Drosophila melanogaster: one gene and its partner. The protein of the gene in region 1 interacts with the protein of each later gene in a pairwise test. Each region holds a gene or a part of one and is shown on either strand. Other genes may lie near its edges. The genes, in order: CG2852 and azot.

Region 1 (8,110 bases):
ACGACAACGCTGCCGGAGAAGGAAGCGGAAACGCAGCAGGAGATCAGGGAGCGGGAGGCCAAGGCTCTGGAGGACCGAAAGGAGCGCAAGATCTACGAGAACTTTGCCACGCCCCTGGCAGGCACTTTTCTCAACCTGCCACGCGAGCCCGTGGAGATCGAGTGCCCCGCCTGCGGAATCAAGGATCTGAGTGTGGTGCAAAATGATCTGAAGTGGTGGGCCAGTGAACTAAACCGCATTGTGGGATGTCTTTTTGTGTAGGTTGCCTTACTTTCTCCTATTTCTTGGAAACGTAAACTTATAAAATACTTTTACAGGACCTTCTGCTGCTGCTGCTGCTTTAATTACTATGTGCCGTGCAAACAAACCGATCGAAGTCATTACTGCGGCAATTGCGGCTGTTACTTTGGACGTTCCATGAAGAGGAGGCAACCACTCAAATTGAAGGCAACCACCGCCTAGGCAGCATTGTTCACATATTTATTAAAATTCTTCTAAACACTCAATTTCCCACCCACTACTGCAATACCATCGAAACAAAAATAAAGCCAAAAATATCACATTTTCTCTTTTTTGGGCCGATTTTTTTCTCTTTGCATATCATTTGAACATTTTATTCCTACAATTTCTCTTCGCTAGCCTCAGTCTGCGTTTGTTTTTAAAGCAGTCAACATCTTTCGGTGCGAAATGGCTCAGGATCCGAAACCACTTTACTTTGCCGTGGGCCCCGGCCCCAACGACATTACGTGTCCTTATTGCAGGACCAAGGCCAAGACCCGTGTGGTGCGTTCCTGGCTGCGTTGCTGCACCAAGAGGCATCACTGCGGTGCCTGCGGGGAGTACCTGGGCGTATACCGCCGTCCACAACTTTAGATACCCACTGAAGAAGGATCATCGGATCCGAATTATTATAACACAATGAACAAATGTAGATCAGTTTTGTCATTTAATTTATATTCAATAATAATAATAAATATACTGCTGTTTGAAACGAATAAAAGTTTACTATTTAATGTGTAATGCTCAAAATGTACACTATACTTTTTACACTGTACATCCAATGGCATTTGTAACGCAGAGAGAATAACTCATTTGATTTCCATGCACTAACTTAATTACCAGACCAACGCCTCGGTTAAGAGAAATCGGGAGAGTGATTCTGATTTTGATTTTCCCTCCCATGATCTCTCCAAATTTGATCCATCTTTCAGTCACCGATCGTTCTCGCTGGAACTCGCATCATGACCGTGGACGAACCGCAGATTGTGGCCATCATTGTCAGCCACAAGCCACAAGTGGGATACCTGAAGGAGGAGCCCACCTGGATCCGTTGTCCTTCGTGTGAGAAGTCTGGAACCAGTTTGGTGCAACTGGAGTTGGTCACTTGCCTGCAGAGATTTCTGGGATTCACAAAACTTTGGTTGGCCATCTGCATGAAGCTTTATAAATCTTTCGTAATGTTCACTTTATTTCAGTAAAAAATGGTCTGGCCGCCAGGACATCAATCACTATTGTTCACACTGCGGTTGCTTCATTGGAAGATTTGTGCCCATCAGCTGCATGGAACGATGCATTTCGAGATCAGCCCGTAAACAGGCGGCCGTGGATGATATGACCCTGAAGACACGACCCAAGGATTGCGCTGAAAGGGCCCAGAAATCCAGGGAGAAAGTTCTGGCCAGCAGGGAGAAGAAGAGAGCAGAGAAGGCAGCCAAGGATATGGACAAATCTCAGACGCAAATAGCAGTACACCAATAAATAAAAGCATATTTTTTTACTTACTTTTTGTGTACAGAACCGTCAATAAAACAAGAGAGAATGCTACGTGCTAATGCAAACTGGACTTCTAATCCCTAAAATATTAAAAACTATACCAATAAAGTCAACTCTTCGAACTTACTTTGTTCCTTCGTACGAAAACCTTAACTTATGCTTTCGGCGTATTAACTATTTGAATTTGAATTTTCCGCCCGAATGTGTGATCATCAGACATCGTCATCGAATGGTCACACTTAAGCATCGATATTTCGACAAAAACATAAAAAACGATGGAAAACATCGATTGGCGATGCAACAAAGTTTTCTTACATCACTAACAGAAACCGAAAATTCAGTCGTGAAATATCCATTGGCGACGTCGCTTGAGGAATAAACTGAAGCGCTGTGAATATTTAGAACGATGAAGCTGTTCTTATCCGTTTTCGTGGTAGCCCTGGTGGCCGGCGTCGTTGTTGCCGACGATAGCAAGGGTCCCAAAGTGACCGAGAAGGTGCGTGCTCCTTGGACTTTCGTCCTTACATTCTGCATACACCACGTACATACACACACAAACACACACACACATTTGCTGCGCCATAAATCAAGTGAGATGACTTGTTAATAATAAACCGCTTCCGATTGCGTAGGTTTTCTTTGACATCACCATTGGCGGCGAGCCCGCTGGTCGCATCGAGATCGGTCTGTTCGGCAAGACGGTGCCCAAGACGGTGGAGAACTTCAAGGAGCTGGCGCTGAAGCCGCAGGGCGAGGGGTGAGTAGGGTACTTGAGTACCGAAAATACCCCAACATAGTAGGGTGCCAGGTACCGCTAGGCCAGCAAAAGATGCCGCTAATCAGCGGCACTTTGTAGGTTATAGCGGGGCTCTCAGATTGAAGCAATTACGTGGCGTTTGAGCGGCCAATCGCATACATCAGTTGACAAAGCGGCACTAATGGGTTAACAAAGAACGCCAACTGTTATTAAGTCTACCATACTATAAAAGTGCAGTTCTTGGGTATTTCTTTTTTCTTCTCTGAATTTATAAGTATGCATGTTCTTTTTTGGTTAGGTTTCGAGTTCTAAACCCAGTTTTTTTTTAAATTTAAATTCCCATGCTGACAAAACTGACCATCATGCAACGCTCTTATACCCCGCAGCTACAAGGGCAGCAAGTTCCACCGCATCATCAAGGACTTCATGATCCAGGGCGGTGACTTCACCAAGGGCGACGGCACCGGCGGTCGCTCCATCTACGGCGAGCGCTTCGAGGATGAGAACTTCAAGCTGAAGCACTATGGCGCCGGCTGGCTGAGCATGGCCAACGCTGGCAAGGACACCAACGGATCGCAGTTCTTCATCACCACCAAGCAGACCAGCTGGCTGGATGGACGCCACGTCGTCTTCGGCAAGATCCTGTCGGGCATGAATGTGGTGCGCCAGATCGAGAACTCGGCCACTGATGCCCGCGACCGTCCCGTCAAGGATGTGGTCATCGCCAACAGCGGCACCCTGCCCGTTTCGGAGGCCTTCTCCGTGGCCAAGGCCGATGCCACCGACTAAAGTGTTTGGGGAGCATGTCATCCATCAGCAACATAACCGATTTGAACTAAGCATAAACGCATAATCGATTTTTCCAGACATTTGCATTTACCATAGCTCGCCATGTTTATTTACATTTCGTTCCGTAAGCAAGTAATTGTGCTCAACTAAAAACAGAAATGGCATAAATAAAGAATGATTTTTTGTGTGATAAAGAGCTGGAATCGTTCTGTGTGTCTATACCATGATGCCGGTGGTGTGCAGGTTCAATGAACCGGTTTTGGTTCCATCGCTTTCTTTTGGCTCTGACTTCCCTTAGTGGCAACCGGTTTGTGCCTTCTTCGCCAATTTGTTTGCCTTTGTATGTTGTGCCGTTCTCGATTTAGATTGCCCATGTTCTGTCTGTTTTTTCTCTTTGTTGTTGATAAACAACGCTCGGTTCGTCACATTTTTCTGATTTGCACACTTGCGACAAATTAAAGAACACACAGACGAGTTCATTTGTATATTTATTCAGTTTGTTTGGGCCTGCTGGGAACTAATTGTATATGATTGAATGAACAGGTGCATGACTGTCTCTGCAGAAGTTAATCGGGTCGATTGATACTTAAATAAGTGCCACTGGCTCATCTTTCGATCAAGTATCCTGTTCTTTATAGAAAGTTTCCTTTCACAACCCTTGGACTAAATATTGATTACTATATACATACCATACTATACTATCCCATGTATATAGAGGTGAAAGCCCGAAACCAGCCCTCTAGTAACTAATTATATATAGCATAATTTTTCAGATCTCAGACGCTGATGAATTGGCAACTTTTACAATTAGCGAATGCACTCAAATGCAACAACATTGTCTAGAAATGCATATGTCTGCCAATCCTTAGACTTCACGTCCCCCAATCTTTTGTTTAGAGCGAGAGAAACCAAGAACTGAAGAGACGATCTCATATCGTTCAAATGTGGGGAATCGTATATGTACATATATATGAAGACGTACATATGTGCAATTGTACCCCTTTCACAGACCCCACAATCGCTGTGTATACATTAATGAAAGCAATAGGATCTATATGAAACGCATGTGTATTGGGGTCTGGTGGCAATCTCATGTGCCACACATGTTCCAGTGACCACAGAAATTCTGGACGTACTTCTAAGATTATATTCCCGAGAGCAATCAGTTGAGTGTTTTGTTTTTGTGGGGAGTCAAGGCGCTGGGAGCGATAAGTTCAGTCTCATTCGTAAACTCAATACAACCGGAAGAGTTTACCGGCGAATGCAATTGCATTACGGCCGGAACTTAAGTATAATCCCAAGCTGATCGTTGATAATAGGGAATATGGTTGGTAAACGGATGCAAGAAGTTCTAGAAAAAGTGTCATCCAAATAGTTTCGAAGCTACTGGAAGACAGATAAGAAGAGATTGTCTTTAATTCGATGATGTGTACTTTCGGAAATGACCTAATTAGTTGTGTGTATGTTAAACCATATAGGAATCTCAATGGAATCGTTGGATCTTGCTGGCTATTTTGGGACTAGCTCTGGGCCAGATTTCACAGGCAGCCAAGATCCTGGTACTGTTTCCCCATGTCAACGAGGGTCACTTTGCGGTGATGCGGACTCTGGTCACCGAGTTGGCCAATCGCGAGCACACAGTAAGTGGCAGTGCTGTCGTTTAAAACGTTTAAGAAATGAAAAGAATGTTGTTTGAATTAGATTGAAGTATATACCGGTCATGGTTTGGGAGAATCTCTGGATAACGTTACCGAAACGGTGACAGCGGAATTTCCTTTTTGGAGCGAATGTGAGTAGGCCGTCTGGAGAAGATTGTTCACGAAGTATAGCAATATCCACATACAGTGCAAAAACAGGCGGCACCCAAGGGAAACCTTGCTGATCTTGGACTCCTGCCAATTGAAAAACTCCGCCAGTCATTGGCCAGCGTTGGAGCGCGTGCTTTGGACCACTTCCTCGCCCAAGAGCCCATCCAAAAGCTGCTGAAGATGTCATATCTTGAGTTCGATTTCGATGTGATCCTTGTGGACTACTTCTACACAGAGGCTTTGTTGGCACTGGGAGCTCTCCATCAGCGGCCAGTTGTAGGGATTATTTCCACGGACTTCGGCAACTACATGGATGCCGTACAAGAGGCACTGGTACCAGCCGCTTGTTCACCCATCGATTTTGAGCGGGATCAACCTGAAATGAGCTTCTCCGTACGATTGGGAAATATTCGGACATGTATTGCTCGCCGTAAGCAGTTCATCAAGGATCACTACGGCGGTCAGGAGCAGTTGGTGACCAAGTACTTCCAGCTGCAGAGCTCTATCCCCGAGCTGCAGGCCAGCCAGCTATCCGTGCTGCTGCTCAATAGTCATGTGCCATTGATAACTCCCAAAGTTAGTATCCAACAGATAATTCCCGCCGGTGGACTTCACATCCGTGGTCCCAAGGAGCTGCCCTGGAATGTGAAGCGCTTTCTGGAGGAGGCGCGTCCTGGAGCCATCTACGTTCAACTGGGCAATGAGCAGGCTTGTGGCCAGCTACCCAAGGAGAAACTCGACACTCTGTTTGCCTTCTTCTCCGCCAGAAAGCAGAGCATAATCTGGACCTGTCACGACGTCAAGACCCTGGAGGGACTGCCAAAGAATGTGATGATCCAGCATGCAGTGCCGCAGATAGACATCCTGGCGCATCCGAGAGTCAAGGCTTTCCTAACCAATGGAGATCTGCTCAACCTGCAGGAGGGCATCATGCGGAATGTGCCCATTCTGGGATTGCCCCTATTCCAGCATGAAGCTCGGAACATGGAGCTAGCCGTGCGATTAGGAGTTGGCCTACAGCTGGAGGAGGGCAATGTGACAACTGAGTCACTAAACTGGGCAGTGGACAGGCTACTCCTCGAGTCACACTTCCAGTTGACCATCCGGGATGTGTCTCTGGAGTTCAGGGACCGTCCTCTTGGCGCTCTGGCCAGCGCTCTCTTCTGGGTGAACTATGTGGCCCGGCACAAGGGAGGATCGGCTTTGAGAACCCGAGGCATTGGGATCTCCTCCTGCCAGCTGCACCTGTTCGACCTCTTCGTGTTCTATGCCGGAATAGCTACTTTAGTCGTAAGCTTACTGGTGGCCCTGAGTTTTGGCGGCTTTTATATTTGGAATAAGAAAAACAACTCCAAGTCGACCAAAGTAAATTAGGTTTAAAGTTTTGAATAAAGTGCATTCTGAGCAGTTTTTTATGAAAAATAAGAATGCATTCTCAAGAACATGAATGAAAGAAAAGCTGAATCATCAGAAAGTTGGTTGCTGCCATTCAAGAAAGTCAAGATTTGTTGGCTTCTTTTTCGTACAAAATAATAATTATATTAATTATAATTATAATTATATTGATTTGGGAACAAAGAAAAATAAAGTTGACCAAAACATGTTAATAGCGAATCGTAACTCAATTTGGCGCTCAAAGGAAAAAAAACTAATAAACGTAAATTTGTCATAGCTTTATGAGTAGACTATTGACTAATGCTTATTGGGTATTTTGATACTCGATCGATATTAAAATAGGTGATTTTACAATTTAGTGTATTGAGATTAACATAACTTACTTAAGATTTTTTATTATTCAAATATACACTACGATCTGGCAACAACAGTTGGACGAAAAATATCGATAGTCTTTAAATATCGATAGTATCGAATCATCGCCATTTCTTCCATCTCTGAAACGGCCATCTTCCTTTCTAATAAATCGCGTTCGCAAAACGACGTGTTTAAAACCTTTTCAAGTGTTTTAAAAGGTAAATTACTCTCAGAACTGCCTAAAAATGCAGGCAAAGACCGCCACCAAAATGCTTATAGCTCCGTGATTGAGGGCAGTGTCCGTGGACGGCGAATGAGCGCAGAAACATGTCACACGTGGAGACATGGAGCACCCACTGCCAGTGAGGTTATGTTGTGTCGCTCAAAAGCGACAAAAACAATCCGGACTGGCGAGCATTTTGTTTGAATGAAAGGCCCAAGCTAAACCTCTACCATCCTTTTGCAGCTCCGTCAAAATGTCCGGTACAACCGCTACCATCCGCACCCGCAAGTTCATGACCAACCGCCTGCTCGCCAGGAAACAGATGGTCTGCGATGTCCTCCACCCAGGATTGTCGTCGGTGAACAAGACCGAGATCCGCGAGAAGCTCGCCGCCATGTACAAGGTCACCCCCGATGTGGTCTTCGCCTTCGGATTCCGCACCAACTTCGGTGGCGGCCGCTCCACCGGCTTTGCCCTCATCTACGACACCCTGGACTTCGCCAAGAAGTTCGAGCCCAAGTACCGCCTGGCCCGTCACGGCCTCTTCGAACAGAAGAAGCAGACCCGCAAGCAGCGCAAGGAGCGTCGCAACAGGATGAAGAAGGTGCGCGGTACTGCCAAGGCCAAGATCGGCACTGGCAAGAAGTAAGCCTGATGGAGGAAAGCTCGTCTGCGGGCATCGCCTGCTATTCCCAAAAGCTGCTGGTTATGCGTTAGTCAAACTTCTTTACCAACCAATCAACAACCGACAAAACAAAATCAGTGTTTACTTTTGGAGCGGCTTTTGTTTGTAAACTAAGGAAATAAAACTCTAAAAGTATACAAGTTCTTGTGGTTCATTGTCTGGGAAAGGCGCGAGTGCAATAGTTGTTTAATTGAAGTGTTTCTGGACCAATTTTATATGCAAAACTATTTGAAGAGTGGCGATAATCACAGATTGTTGTCAATAACTTTTGTTGATCTCTTGTACTCCTTTGGTGGCCTATTTTTACAAGGAAAATGTTTACA
Region 2 (6,977 bases), about 15 Mb from region 1:
CTATCAAAGTACAAAGTTTCAACAAGAGAAATACAACGCAATACAAAATACCCCGCTGAACCATCGAAGACAATAGCAAATAGAATCAAAAGCACAGAATTTAAGAAAGGAAGTCAACTTAATCTCAAGCCTAAGAAAACGTATAGGAGGAGCATCGTTAACAAATCTAAACTCTCCAAATTATCATTACAACATCAAAAACGAAAGAAAAATGAAGTGGAAAATAAACTGAAAGAAGTTGTTTCAGTTATGCAGGAGCTGGACGAGTTTAAAGGCATAAAGACTCCCAAAAGGATGATGGAGAAAATGAACCGAACGATTTTAAAGAAGTTTTCCGGAAGCGCCCTTAATTTCGAAACCTCTTTTGGAGATCTTTCAAAGTACACGGTTCCAGCTAGAGAAGCGCAACACGATTCAACATATCCTGCTGAATCATCGAAGACACCAGCAAAGAGAATCAGAACCAACGAATTTAAGATGACCAAATCATCTGGGAACAAAGGATTTGATTTTAAGCTAGGCAAAGGACTTAAAATCCACGACTATGGCTTCAAGAATCTCAAGAAGGGAGTTTCAAATCAAGATACTATCCATGATTCCAAATCACACACACCAAGGGAGGCAGAAATTATTTCTAACCGCAAAGCCTTCCGTACCATGGACACGAATCTGAGGAATTTCACTAGACAAACTGCTACTAACATCTTTCTTAACGTTGACAGGCTGAGTGACAAAAAAGTTGGCTCAAAGTTAGAACTTTTGGAGCAACTAAATCGATTAGAGACCTTAAAACACGGAAATAGCGACAATTTTGAGTACTTTGAGGAATCTGTTTCGCCGTTGGGCTATGAGATTTCTGAAAAATTAAATAGAACATTTGCGTCGATCAAAAGAATAAATCAGTCCAGGGCGAATGCAGAACTGTTTATTTTAGACGACAGAGATTCACCCATGGACTTTTTGACTTACGATGACTATCAAGGAAAGTATGTTCCCTTGGCCGAAGAGAAACCCCAACCACCCAATCGTCGAAGAAAGAAACGATCTAAACGACTTTTCGTTCCCAAAACTGACGCAGGTACACAGACTGAATGCGAGTGTGAAATTTGCTGTTCGTTGCAAAAGTATAGGACTGAAAAAGTATCACCTTTGCTAATGGAAATGACAATGAAAAGAAATTTTTTGAATCAACGACAATACTATATGGAAAATCTCAAGAAAAGAAAGTTAAAAGCACCTGTTTCAGAAAAAAGGGAATTAATCTCCATAACTAAGCCCAATCAAAGCGATTGCGAAGCGAAACACAGAAGTCACAAAGATGTAAATTTGTATTCTCGTTACCCCAAAATCATTTCCGAAACCCTTGAGAACCTTACATCCCCCCTTCGATTTGAAAACTACACACGAGAATTATTAAAGGCTTACAAGGCACTCGATGTGACAAAAATGATATCACGCTGTTATCAAACACTTTTTGAAGCCGAGCAACGAACGAATGGAATATTTCCAAATACCTTTGATCCTTAACCGAAAATTTGTCGACTATAAAGTATCTGAATCTAGTCAATCAATGAAGATACAGAAATGAGCATTTGACTGCATATAACATGCGCGAGAAAATGAATGAAATTGGAAAAGAAGCATTTTCTTTCTTTGGATTCATCAATTAAAAATGAGCTCTGTGTTTAATTCGCCAGGAGTGCCAGGAAGTGAACACAGAGTTCATTTCAGATGAATTCAAGGAAATGAAAGCTTATTTCTATTAAAAATTCACCTATGCTTGGTAAGCATTATATGTAATAACCAGCCAAAAAGTGAGTATTGTTGACTACTTAGTTTGGGAAATGCCGGTCGAATAAAAATGAATTGTTCGTTAAGAAAGGCAATGTCACTTTTGCCATCAATCCCAATTCAGGTGGTAATTACATAAATTTCCCCGATGTGAGTGCCATCAACGGAATGCCGTGCAAATGACAGTTATTAGTACACGAGCCTAGCCCCGAAGGAGAGCTTGGGGGTTGGAGGTTTGAACGTACGTTTGATTGATTTATATTGGCGTCAGGCAGTGACTGAGGAACATTTCTAATGACAGTTTTACATATCCCTATGACGCCACCACCACCACCACCACCCATCCCACCCGACTCACCGATCGGATCGATGCACTCGAGGGTGAGGCAGCACTTCAGCCAGGGAAGCATGATCTTCTCGGCCACCAAGGAGCTGTCCGAGAAGAAGACAGCATCCAGGTCGACCATCCGAAGAAAGTTAAACTCCTCAGCTTTCGACTCAAAGTAGTCGAACATTTTTGGATGCGTCAGAGAGGATACCGCCGTCGCTGTGTTCCATCCGAGCACTCCAGCGGACTTGACTGCAGATTTTCCCACTCCTGGATTCATAACGATGCTCTGCAGACTTCGCAGCTGGGCGGAACCTCCGCGCACGCGCATGCTGTTTTCCAAGAAGAGAACCGATCGGGCACGCATAAGACCGTCCTTAATTACAATGGGCCGGTAGGCGTGCGTCCGCTGATCGGCGACGAAGGAGGGAAACTCCGACAGATCATAGGTGATCACCGAGCATCGGCTGTTATTACAGTAGGCGCCCAAATCCCGTAGTTGCTCCTCGGAAACGCCCAAATCGTAGATTAGCAGGTACTCGCTGGGAAGCTTGGCGGCAATATTCTGGGCCAGCAGGATGGCCGATGCGGCCTGCCCCTCCAGCACATAGCTGACGATTGTGAAGTTGCTCTTTGTACCGTTGTACGGCGTCGTGATCCGCTTCCGCTGCCCCTTTTGATCTCCTGCCTGACTACCGAAGGTAACAGCATCCTGTGGACGCCGCAGACCTCGCAGTTCGCTGAGCTCCAGTTCCGCTTTTGTAGCCGGCGCTGAAAAATCTGTCTTTGGCAGTTGCTGACCTGGTGAACCGATGTCCACCACATTTTGCTGATCCAGCTGCTGCTGTTGGCCTGTAGCTTCATTTGACGAGGTGAAGCCCAGAAGAAGCAAATACTTTGGGTCTATTTCGAGCTTTTTGCGTTCCAAGCCAACGCGGAGGTTTTCCTGCAAGAAAAAAAATTAAATTTGCAATAAATGAATATTTTTGGTTTATCCAAGAAATAAACAAGAGATTTATTATTTAAGTTTTGACATACGGTTCCCGAACCCCACTCTTAGAAAATTATTTATGTCGGGCCAGGCGGCGTTAATGGTCAAAAAATATGGCCAGAATTTGCCTCGTCATAGGAACAATTCCGAAACACACATGTGAGATATGTTTCCATTATGGCCCTCTAGCACACTTCCTCTGTTTCGCCGAAACTAGCCCAAACAAATACCCAAACACAACCAAAAATCAAATGAGCCGCACAATGGAACCCTCTCGTGCCGATGTCAAATTCTTGTCTATTATTTGCTTAGACTGTGGCCAGAGTAAAGCGTGCCGCATTCTCTGCCCACCCCCCCGGGCACTACCACTCCTCCGGCAGCCAAAAACCGGTGTCAGGTGTGTCCCACTGCGGTCAGGTGAAAGGGCCGAGGGGGAGAAGCACTGGAATTAACCTGCGGCAAAAAGGCAGCCGCCAAAGTTGCAGGCTAGGCGCCAAACCCAAATCGCATGACAACCTTTCTGTGCCGATAGCAACCACTACACTTGTATGGCAGTACACTCAAAACACTCTTGTTAAGTATGAATAGTATGGTATGCTGATTCATAGATAGATTATTTAATGTATAGCAAAACTTACGAATAAGTTTAAGCAATCAAGAACAAAATCTTACATTTACATTTTTATACCAGTTACTCGTGAAGCTAAAGGAGTTATTCATCCAGATCACTAGTCGATCTGGATAAGCCCGTCTGTCCTTCCGTCTGCCTGTCCGTCCGTATGAACGTCGAGATCTCGGGAACTATAAAAGTTCACTAATGTTGTTTTCATTCTACACAAATATTTTGGCGTTGCAAACTTCTGTTGAGTTCTTGTATTTCGAATAGCGAAAAGATGAGCCTTTTTTTTCTTGAGTGTGCGTTGGAACAATGACGGTGATTGTACACATTCTTACTCCTTAACTTTCCTCGAACGGCACTCTCCTTCTGTTTTGTTAACGAACAACGAAAGATACTAGCTGACGTCCGTTGCTGGGTCGCAATTGAAACCGATCAGCTGCAAGGCCTCCTCGCCCAAGGACATTCGAATCAATCAACTCTGTCCGTGCGGCACTGCGCTTATATAACGAGCATATTGATTTTGTGCCATTCGGTGTTGTGCACTGTGCAGCGCAGTGAAGCCACCGGGGGATGTTCATTTTACCATTTTTCACATTTCACTGAGTTCAATGTCAGGACCTTGTTTCATCCAAACATCAGTTGACACCTACATATAAACAGAGCAATATACAACTCTTCCGAGAAACTATAATATACCAGTTAAGATGGAGGATATTTCGCATGAGGAGCGAGTCCTGATCCTTGACACTTTCCGTATTTTGGACAAGGACAACGAGGGCGCCATAACATCTAAAGAGATGGCGGTGGTGATTCGCGCCCTGGGTCGCCAGCCCAACGACGCCGAGGTTCAGTCCATGATCAATGAGGTGGATTCGGAGGGAAACGGATCCATCGTGGCTCCGGAGTTCTGCAATGTGATTCTGCGCAAGATGCGCGACACCAACCATGAGGACGAGCTGCGCGAAGCTTTCCGAATTTTCGACAAGGATAACAATGGCTACATTACCACCACCGAGCTAAAAAATGTGTTCACCGCGCTGGGCGTAAAGCTCAGCGACGACGAGTTGGAAGAAATGATACGCGAGTACGACTTGGATCAGGACAATCACTTGAATTACGAGGAGTTCGTCAACATGATGACAATGCGATAGCCTCCATGTGAGTACTCGTATAGAAGGCTGGCTTGATTTCTATCCAACAAAAAGTCGGCGTTCTGTCTGTGTTCAGTTTAAATTCTTTATGTTCACACTGACAAAAGCACATGAAACATTAGTCCACTACAAAAAAAAAAAAAAAAAAGAAAATCACTTTGGAAACAATGAGCGGCAGTTTGACCGAGGCCCAGATTGAAGAAATTCGAGAAGCATTCAGTTTGTATGACAAGGAACGGTCCGGATGGGTTTCCGTCCAACAGCTCGGCGGAGTAATGCGGGCCCTTGGAGAGAGTCTCACCGAGGCGGAGATCTACGACCTGGCCAACGAAAGTAACGCCGACTTCGGTGGGCAGGTGCAGTTCAAGGACTTTCTATACGTGATGAGCAAACGGCTGGAGGAGCAGAACAGTCTGGTGTGCCTAAAGCAGGCCTTCAAAATCTTCGATCGCAGCGAAGTGAACAGCTTTACAATTAACGAGATCAGAATGGTGATGACCAACCTGGGCGAGAAGATGTCCGAAGAGGACTTGCGCGAGTTGTTCCAGGACATTGATCAGGACAAAGATGGAAAGATCTCCTTCAACGAATTTGTTACCGCCATGCGAAGCTAGGAATTCCAAATTGAAGGCACAAATTAACCACGAACCCCTTTCGAAAGAGCCCAACCCAGTCGCGTTTTCCCTACGCCTAGGCGGCACCACTTGAAATTCCCAACCAAATTCCTTTGGCTTACTCAACGCAGCGCCAGAAAGTCGGCTGTTAAACCTTGTCCGAAGAAGTCCACTTGTGTGTGTCCATGTGGCACGGCGCGTGACTCCGAAACGGTCGCATGTGCCTAATGGCCGCTGGGGAGTGCCAGGATATTCGAAAGGGTGATGGCGATGGGCCAGAGCAATCATAAAATCGAGCCACGCTGATTACGATGCCAATTTAAATATTTGACCATGTGCTGGACTGGACTGGACTCGCTGGTTTCCTTTTTGTCTGACCAAGTTTACAAGTGGCATGATTTTGGGTTCAAGTCTTATCGCACCTTGCTCTTTTTAAATTACCTTGTTATCTATTGGCACCCTTAATACGCATACAACATACATTGTCCATGACTCATTCGGCAATTATAAAAGCCCACCTTGGCAATAAAATATTGTCAAGTGACTAGTGACTAATAATTTGTAAGGGGGAAAGGTTTATAAATTTGAATGCGCCTTCGTGCATGGATTTCAGAACATATATAAAAGAAAATCATGTATAGAGAAAGAATAATTGATGCCGAATTCGGAGAAATATTTCGGGGCTGGGATGCATTACTCGGAAAGATTTCACGATTTCGTCATTGCTAATCCTATTTGTAAAAGGTAAATACCCACAATAACCCCAAAAATACTTAATTATGCTTAATTGAAAAATTAAAACATTAGCTTCTTTATTTTACATCCACTTACAGTTAACCCACGGACTTATTAATGTTAATCAAAAGTCGAGAGGTCATTCCGACGTTCATATGTTTCTAGCGCTTCATATGGATAATTTAAATAGGTTATCGTTCAGCTACAGTTTAATTGCATTGCTCTGCATGTGAGTGGCGGTGCGACATTGAACCGATGGCTATAGGCAATCAATAGCGCCTGTTTACTCCTCACACAGGTAAATATGGAATACGAGTAATCGCTGTGCAAGCGCATTGATAAAGCCCGCGCTCCTCGCTGTAATTTAAGTCATTGATTAGTGTCGTCCATTAAGAAAGTTGACACAAATTGTCACAAATGGGGCAGCATTATAATTTGAAATTAGAAAAAAAAAAAAGAAAACATTCAGCTTATTTCCCAGCAATACTCCATAATTGGCTAATTGACTAAATAAATTTCTGCTCGACTTATATATGAGTTTCGTATACCCACAGTTTTGATTCGAATTGTTGTATTCAATCCCAGCGCACCTGTTTGATTCCCACGAAGCGAACCCTCGGAATAAGATCCAAAAGGGTGGGATTTAGCTATACACGTACTTCCGCATGGAAAGTTTATACTACTTTTAGGTAGTCTCCGGAGTTGTTATTTATACATAGGCACGCTTTAAAAATATATAGTTCATAAT

The links.
Region 2: the proteins of CG2852 (region 1) and azot interact in a two-hybrid assay, tested with the Drosophila melanogaster proteins (one large-scale study listed by BioGRID).

What each region holds. Positions count from the first base shown.
Region 1 is NT_033778.4:22,640,341-22,648,450, reverse strand, and holds CG2852 (uncharacterized protein), read left to right. Parts: upstream 1-2,106; 5' UTR 2,107-2,179; coding exon 2,180-2,269; intron 2,270-2,405; coding exon 2,406-2,530; intron 2,531-2,916; coding exon 2,917-3,319; 3' UTR 3,320-3,805; downstream 3,806-8,110. Other genes in the region: CG34445 (uncharacterized protein), read left to right, coding at 1-257, 318-462; CG34446 (uncharacterized protein), read left to right, coding at 688-873; CG30195 (uncharacterized protein), read left to right, coding at 1,242-1,420, 1,476-1,758; Ugt317A1 (UDP-glycosyltransferase family 317 member A1), read left to right, coding at 4,644-4,646, 4,798-4,959, 5,021-5,108, 5,165-6,501; RpS24 (ribosomal protein S24), read left to right, coding at 7,356-7,751.
Region 2 is NT_033778.4:7,945,456-7,952,432, forward strand, and holds azot (ahuizotl), read left to right. Parts: upstream 1-4,383; 5' UTR 4,384-4,433; coding exon 4,434-4,880; 3' UTR 4,881-5,010; downstream 5,011-6,977. Other genes in the region: CG14764 (uncharacterized protein), read right to left, coding at 2,150-3,065; CG34431 (uncharacterized protein), read left to right, coding at 1-1,527; CG30378 (uncharacterized protein), read left to right, coding at 5,048-5,494.